Linked DNA regions of Xenopus tropicalis. The protein of the gene in region 1 interacts with the protein of each later gene in a pairwise test. Links are inferred from orthologs where the notes say so. Each region holds a gene or a part of one and is shown in the gene's direction. Other genes may lie near its edges. The genes, in order: cda and plekhb2.

Region 1 (4,365 bases):
CTTTCTTTCCTTCTCTCTTTTTCTTTCTCATTTAGCATTGCCAAAGCAGGTATAGGGTGTAAGGCAGGGGTGGGCAAACTTTTTGGCTCACGGGCCACATTTACTCACCCCCAGGCCGGACCGGGCGAGGGCGGGCAGGGCCAGGCCAGCGTTACGCCCCCTTTGTCTCTTTAATTCCGGCCCGCCAATGACACCAAGTCTCGCGTGATGAGACTTGGCGTCGTCGGCGGGCCGGATTAAAAAGGCCAAGGGGCCGGATGTGGCCCGCGGGCCGTAGTTTGCCCACCCCTGGTGTAAGGGGTGGGGTTAGGGGGGTCAGTATATGGGAATTGGGGGTGTTTAAGGGGTGGGGTTAGGGGGTCAGTATATGGGAATTGGGGGGGTTTAAGGGGTGTGGTTAGGGGGTCAGTATATGGGAATTGGGGGGGTGTAAGGGGTGGGGTTAGGGGGTCAGTATATGGGAATTGGGGGGGTTTAAGGGGTGGGGTTATGGGGTCAGTATATGGGAATTGGGGGGGTGTAAGGGGCAGGGTTAGGGGGTCAGTATATGGGAATTGGGGGGGTGTAAGGGGTGGGGTTAGGGGGTCAGTATATGAGAATTGGGGGGGTTTAAGGGGTGTGGTTAGGGGGTCAGTATATGGGAATTGGGGGGGTGTAAGGGGTGGGGTTAGGGGGTCAGTATATGGGAATTGGGGGGTTTAAGGGGGGACTTTCCCCTGTCCCCATATACTGACCCCCTAACCCCAGTATATGGGGTCAGTATATGGGGACTGGGGAAAGTCCTGTCTCTCACAGTCTGTCTCTAATTTTCTCTCTCTTTTACTTTCCTTCTTAATCTATTTCTGTCTCTTTCTTTGTCTTTCTCTCTCTCTCTCTATTATTCTTTCTTTCTTTCTTTCTCTTTTCTCCCTCTCTATTGCTTCCCCCCTCATCTTCTTGCTTTTTCTTTTTCCCTCTCTCTCTATTTCTTCCGCCCCTCTCTCTCTCTCTCTCTCTCTCTCCCTATATATATATTTCTTTCTTTTTTCCCCCCTCTCTCTTTCTTTCTTTCATCTTTTTCTTTCTCTTTTTCCCCCTCTCTCTATTTATTCTCCCTTCTCTCTCTATTTATATATTTCTCCCCCCCCATCTCTTCCCATTGCTCTCCAGGAATGCCCATATTCCAGCCTGGGCACGGTGACATTCTGGCGGTGGCTCTGGATACACACGGAGTGACGTGACAGGACAGCACGTAGCCGGAGAGATGACTGTACTGAGTCAGAGCAGCAGTGACGGGCAGCCATGCAGGAAGCCGGAGTCATTTTGTTCCACCAATGAGGTCACACAGCACTGCAACCTGTCACTCACCCTCCCTGCCTCCCTCCCCATGAACAAACCCCTGCCCCTGGGTGAAACAGACAAGATACAGAGGAGGAATGCAGGAGGGCTGAGGCCTGGCCAATCAGAGAGGAGCCACCCTGAGGAATTCAGCACCATACAAATAGTGAGGCACGGAGGCTGCAGGATACACACACCCACAACTACAGGACACAGCTGCCAACAGACACCTACAGCCAAGGAGCCAGGGGGTTAATGCACCCAATCACTAAAGTTTATTCACTGGCCCTCACTGGCAGCTACTGACCCCCACAGACCCACTGCTGAGACTTTAGGGGACACACTGATACCCACAGAGGCTTCCCCACTCCTGAGTGCCAGGGATGGATGGGAATAGCAACTGCCATGATAACGGATGTATAACCAGTCTAGAGACTGAACTCATCCAGAGACTCGTTGCCCAAAGCCACGAAGCCAAGCAGCGAGCCCACTGCCCCTACAGCAAGTTCCGAGTGGGGGCCGCACTCCTGACCGCGGATGGGAAAGTCATTCTGGGCAAGTACCGCTCTCTCTCTGCCAACTCTCTCCTACTTCTGGCTTTGTACTGGCTGAGTGTCTTTTTTTAACTTCCGCTGCTATGTTACTTGCTATTAATCCTCATTTAATGTGCCAAAGGGAATTACTGGTGCAAAACTTTAGACTTTATTGAATGTGTGTCTTTTTTCAACCTCAGCTACTGTGTTAAATATCTCTTCATCCCTCTCTGGCCCTGGAAATGCTCATTCAGTATTTTGAAACTAACCCCAAACTCTCACTGCCCCATTAGCTTAGTATCTTATCCTCCAGCTCCGCAGTTTTGCCCTCCTACAGATATGTATTCCATGGATTAAAGGGTAAGTTCATCAAATCAGACTTACCTGACTGTTAATAGCATCAGTAGCTTTTTCTCCTGCAGTACCACTTGTGACCAGTAGCCAGGTAACTTTTTTATGAAGAGTCTTCCTTCTTTTAATTAGTTTGGCTTCTCTACACTTTAAAATAGCCAAATGCCCCTTGCCCCCCCCCCCCACAAATAATGCTGAAGGACGGAAGCACATATATATATATAGCATTCCCACCCTTCCAGCTGTGCCCATCGTGCCTGCGCTGTGTAGGGCACTGTGTTTGGCAGCAGCTGTGGGGCAATGTCAGGAGCAGCTGCTCGGGTGTTGGAGGCAAGAACTCACATGATTGTGTGAAGGGAAAGGGACAGACACAGTGACAGTTACACATAACTATAAACCCAGTGAGAATGAGGAATGAATGGATATTGGGGAGTTGTATCAGGAGTCAGAACCAGCAGTGCAGGGAAGGGAAAGGGACAGACACAGTGACAGTTACACATAACTATAAACCCAGTGAGAATGAGGAATGAATGGATATTGGGGAGTTGTATCAGGAGTCAGAACCAGCAGTGCAGGGAAGGGAAAGGGACAGACACAGTGACAGTTACACATAACTATAAACCCAGTGAGAATGAGGGATGAATGGATATTGGGGAGTTGTATCAGGAGTCAGAACCAGCAGTGCAGGGAAGGGAAAGGGACAGACACAGTGACAGTTACACATAACTATAAACCCAGTGAGAATGAGGGATGAATGGATATTGGGGAGTTGTATCAGGAGTCAGAACCAGCAGTGCAGGGAAGGGAAAGGGACAGACACAGTGACAGTTACACATAACTATAAACCCAGTGAGAATGAGGGATGAATGGATATTGGGGAGTTGTATCAGGAGTCAGAACCAGCAGTGCAGGGAAGGGAAAGGGACAGACACAGTGACAGTTACACATAACTATAAACCCAGTGAGAATGAGGAATGAATGGGTATTGGGGAGTTGTATCAGGAGTCAGAACCAGCAGTGCAGGGAAGGGAAAGGGACAGACACAGTGACAGTTACACATAACTATAAACCCAGTGAGAATGAGGGATGAATGGGTATTGGGGAGTTGTATCAGGAGTCAGAACCAGCAGTGCAGGGAAGGGAAAGGGACAGACACAGTGACAGTTACACATAACTATAAACCCAGTGAGAATGAGGAATGAATGGATATTGGGGAGATGTATCAGGAGTCAGAACCAGCAGTGCAGGGAAGGGAAAGGGACAGGCACAGTGACAGTTACACATAACTATAAACCCAGTGAGAATGAGGAATGAATGGATATTGGGGAGATGTATCAGGAGTCAGAACCAGCAGTGCAGGGAAGGGAAAGGGACAGACACAGTGACAGTTACACATAACTATAAACCCAGTGAGAATGAGGGATGAATGGATATTGGGGAGATGTATCAGGAGTCAGAACCAGCAGTGCAGGGAAGGGAAAGGGACAGACACAGTGACAGTTACACATAACTATAAACCCAGTGAGAATGAGGAATGAATGGATATTGGGGAGATGTATCAGGAGTCAGAACCAGCAGTGCAGGGAAGGGAAAGGGACAGACACAGTGACAGTTACACATAACTATAAACCCAGTGAGAATGAGGAATGAATTGATATTGGGGAGATGTATCAGGAGTCAGAACCAGCAGTGCAGGGAAGGGAAAGGGACAGACACAGTGACAGTTACACATAACTATAAACCCAGTGAGAATGAGGAATGAATGGGTATTGGGGAGTTGTATCAGGAGTCAGAACCAGCAGTGCAGGGAAGGGAAAGGGACAGACACAGTGACAGTTACACATAACTATAAACCCAGTGAGAATGAGGAATGAATGGGTATTGGGGAGTTGTATCAGGAGTCAGAACCAGCAGTGCAGGGAAGGGAAAGGGACAGACACAGTGACAGTTACACATAACTATAAACCCAGTGAGAATGAGGAATGAATGGATATTGGGGAGTTGTATCAGGAGTCAGAACCAGCAGTGCAGGGAAGGGAAAGGGACAGACACAGTGACAGTTACACATAACTATAAACCCAGTGAGAATGAGGAATGAATGGATATTGGGGAGATGTATCAGGAGTCAGAACCAGCAGTGCAGGGAAGGGAAAGGGACAGGCAC
Region 2 (3,824 bases), on another chromosome or scaffold:
CAGAGATGGGCAAGCATATGCCTCCTACCCATATCCCCCACAAGGTAAAAGCCAATGTTGCATTAGATTTTTAACTGTGAATATGATAGGGCACTTAGATTGTAAGCTCCTATGGGGCAGGGACTGTTGTGAATGATGTATTATCTCTGTATAGTGCTGTGGAAATGTGTTGGCACTATATAAATAACAGGAAATAAATACATAAAAACAGTTACCCATCATTACCTCATCATATTTGGTAAAATATACATTACATTAGTGTTTCCAAAACTGTGATGCTTCCCCCCTCAAGGGAGCCAAGAGCAGTGGCCGGGGATGGCCCAGGCTGAAGTCCAATAAGATTCTGCTTTGAGGAAAATGTTAATTAGGGTGAGATTTGGGGTGAACACTCACAAGGACTGTTCCCATGTATAAACACCACAAGGATGTTATTCTTGGGCCTGGGGCCTTTCGTGTGCCATTTGTTTTGGAAGTTTTCAGCAGTACAGAACCCTGAATTTCCTTTCCTGACTTAATATGTAGGGTTGCCACAGGGTAAAGTGGGCAGAAAGCTGTATCACAGCTCCACCAGGTTATCTGAGGATGTAATTAACTTTATTCCCTACATTTTGGCCTCTATTCAGTTTTGCTGAATAAATACAATTCTGACATAAATACAAATACAATTCTGACATAAGTGTACTGTGACACTACCAACAATCAGTGCCGGATTTCAAATCCGCCCCGAGGCCGCCAGCCCAGGCGCCCCCCGCAACTCACCCCCCCCCAGCGCACACATGCGCATTCGCAACTCACCCCCCATCCCCCTAGCGCACGCATGCGCATTTGCGTGGGCGCCGATATAAACTCATACGCAGCAGTGGGGAGAGGTCCCCACTGCTCCGTATGGGAGCAGAATGTTTGCCGCCCTAGGCCCGGGACTTTGTGGCCTCACAAATCCGCGCCTGCCTACAGTGGTGCTCAAAAGTGTGAATCCTTTTTAATTCCTAATATTTCTGTATACATAAAAACTAAAATGTGATCTGTTTTTACAAAAGTCCTAAAACTGTTTTTTTCTTAGACAATGTCTGAAGGGACATAAAATAACGGTGTCAAATCTGGCATTCGGACAGCGTAAAATAAAACACACCTTGATAAATTTGCCATTTATATTACACTGCTTTTTACACCATTTTCCCAATGAATTTCTAATAAATAGGCCCCTCATAAATGAGCTCTAAAGTCTTTTTCTTTTTATTTAGCTAAAATTGAGTACATTTGTAACAATGCCATTGTTTTATTTGTTGAATTTTGTAGGATATGGAGCACCTCCGACCAATCACGTCATCATCCGAGAGAGATACTATGACAATGATGGGGACCTTGCGATGGGAATGCTTGCAGGAGCCGCTACGGGAATGGCTCTCGGATCTCTCTTTTGGGGATTTTAAATGCTCCCACAAAATGATTGCAGGATTTATTTACTAGATTCCCTCAACACTCGCAGCTTTTCCAAAGAAGTAATATTTCTGGTAATAGTTTTTAGAACTACAGTCAGAGCAATTGACAGAAGTGTAACATAAAGCTAAACAGTCGTATATTTATAGAACAGTAACACACATAACTTCTATATTGTATAACAATAAGTAATAATGATTAAGTATTTATTTATAAGTGTGTATTGCTCTATGTATGCTCATATTATACCTGATATACTACTGACACTTTGGTTGCTTTTAAGAGTTTTCTACTCAAAGACCATACAGTTTAGGGGACATTTACTCTGACCCTGAATGCAAGAGGTGCAGAAGTATATCCCTTAGTGCAATTGCATTCAGGGTCTGGCTGCCCTCTGTGCCTAACGCTGGATATCCTGTGCTAGTTGTGGGGTGCAGTGCCAGTGGGCACAAGGTCCTTAGCACCTGCTATAGAGCAAGCTGTAAGTACAGGGTTCCATGACATGCAAGTTAGGGGATGGGTAAGTGGAAGTCCATGCCACTCTTACTTGAATACAGTGATGTTGAATGCAGGATGTGCTGTATTCATGGGGGAAATTCAGGCTCTGCGGTTTGTTTTGTAGTGTAAAGACCCAGGGCAATGTTTTGAAGCTCAGGACAAGGCACAAGGTGCAGAAAACATGGCAGATTTTGCATTGTGCACTCTCCCCTGTAAATGGCACACGTTGTTGGTGCATGGTTTTTAAGATAACATATAAACTGAGTAAAAAGTTCTGATGTCTTTATATACTGGGTCATTCATTTCTGGCCATGCTCTTGAGAATTCTGGCCGTGCCACTCCCATTAGCAAGTCAAAGCCACTGTATTTTAAGCCCAAGACAAACAATTTCTAGGAGATCAAAAACCCTTCTCTCCTTCTGCACAAAGACAAAAATGTACCATGTGAGATTTCCCCGCACACTCAGATGTTCTGCCATGAATTGTTCATTTCAAGTGACCTGGGCTCAACTACTGGCTAAAAAGGAATTTCTGATTGCTACAGTTGTCCCTAAGAGAAGTATAGCAACACATCCAGTGACCCATTGCCCCAAACCTGGAGAGAGATTTAGAGAATTTTTGAGTAAGCAATAAAGATATATTATCTTAAGGGCAATGGCACATGGAGTGATTCACTTGACATTATATAATGCTCTGCCAGGCTCAAGGGTGCCATATAGAGTGGCACATGGTCAGGACATGATTGTCCTCTTGAATGCCCCTTATTTTTGTCATTAATAAGGTAGAAGCAAACATATGAGGAATTGTAAGCAGCACAAGGCACAAAGGGATCCCTTACAATTACAAGTTGGGCTTTATTGTATTGACTGCTAATGAGCAGATTTATGGTCACAGTGTTTATGCCCTGGAGCAGAATGAGCCCTTTTGCTAATTAGTTTGCACCTTATTCCACCTTTTTGCTTTTTTCAGAGCAATTGGAGGAGAAATGGTTTCACAGCCTTACCATTAAAGCCACTATATAATGACCTCTGTCTTATCTGTAGCAATAAAGGGAAGGGAGGGGTTTATCATATACAGATTATTTGTTTAATTTATTGGAGGGAAAGGGAGGTATTAAGAGTAAGATAACACAATTGCCTATTAGTGCTTTATAGTAATTAAAAAAAATACAATTAGAATTTATTTTTAAAAACATGCAGAACAGATATCTATCTGGCTCATGTTGAACATAAATGTATATCGTTTGTTTAACAATTATCTTTACACAGCATGGATATTTACAGGAGTAATTGGTTGAAAGGTGGTTAAGTGACAAGCGGGCACCACATGCACATCAAAGAGATATGCCTTAATTGCTTTTGCAGCCACCCAGCTCTCCAAACCAGGTGACCCAAACTTAATTAGAGATGCAGGAGAATGATCCAGTGACAGTTCTTCCTACCAGTGCTATGTGTGGGACCTGACTGATTACTAATTTAATATGTTTTAAATGGTTTAAATAATAGAAATGATATTTTGCTTTCCGGCACACATTCAAGGATTACTAAACTCTCCCTCCAAGTTAGTCTCAAAAATGTCTCTCTGTGGGCTCCTCCTTTTGGAAAAAGGGGTTGGCAGGGACCATCTTGCCCCTAACTGTGTGATTTACTGTTAAATCAGTGGCACAGAGCATGCCCAGATGGAGCCAGGTCAGGAACAGCTTCAACTGAGGTGCTCTCCAAGGGCCAAGAGCGGCACACTGTGCATTACTGCCCCACTGTGCATTACTGCCCCACTGTGCATTACTGCATTTTTTAAAGGAGGTAAGGGGGAACTGTACCCATAGAAAGATTTCTGAGACTAACTGGAGCAGGTCCAGAGGGGGCTGCATTGAAAGTGCACTAGCAGAGC

Evidence for each region.
Region 2: the proteins of cda (region 1) and plekhb2 interact in binary tests that used the Homo sapiens proteins (3 or more experiments, as listed by UniProt). The two-hybrid records come from large-scale screens. The link is inferred for Xenopus tropicalis from reciprocal best matches to the Homo sapiens genes CDA and PLEKHB2.

Annotation. Positions count from the first base shown.
Region 1 is NC_030683.2:129,542,457-129,546,821, reverse strand, and holds the start of cda (cytidine deaminase), read left to right. Parts: upstream 1-1,527; 5' UTR 1,528-1,700; coding exon 1,701-1,872; intron 1,873-4,365. UniProt on the Homo sapiens protein: This enzyme scavenges exogenous and endogenous cytidine and 2'-deoxycytidine for UMP synthesis.
Region 2 is NC_030681.2:126,767,889-126,771,712, reverse strand, and holds part of plekhb2 (pleckstrin homology domain-containing family B member 2), read left to right. Parts: coding exon 1-44; intron 45-1,296; coding exon 1,297-1,430; 3' UTR 1,431-3,824. UniProt on the Homo sapiens protein: Involved in retrograde transport of recycling endosomes.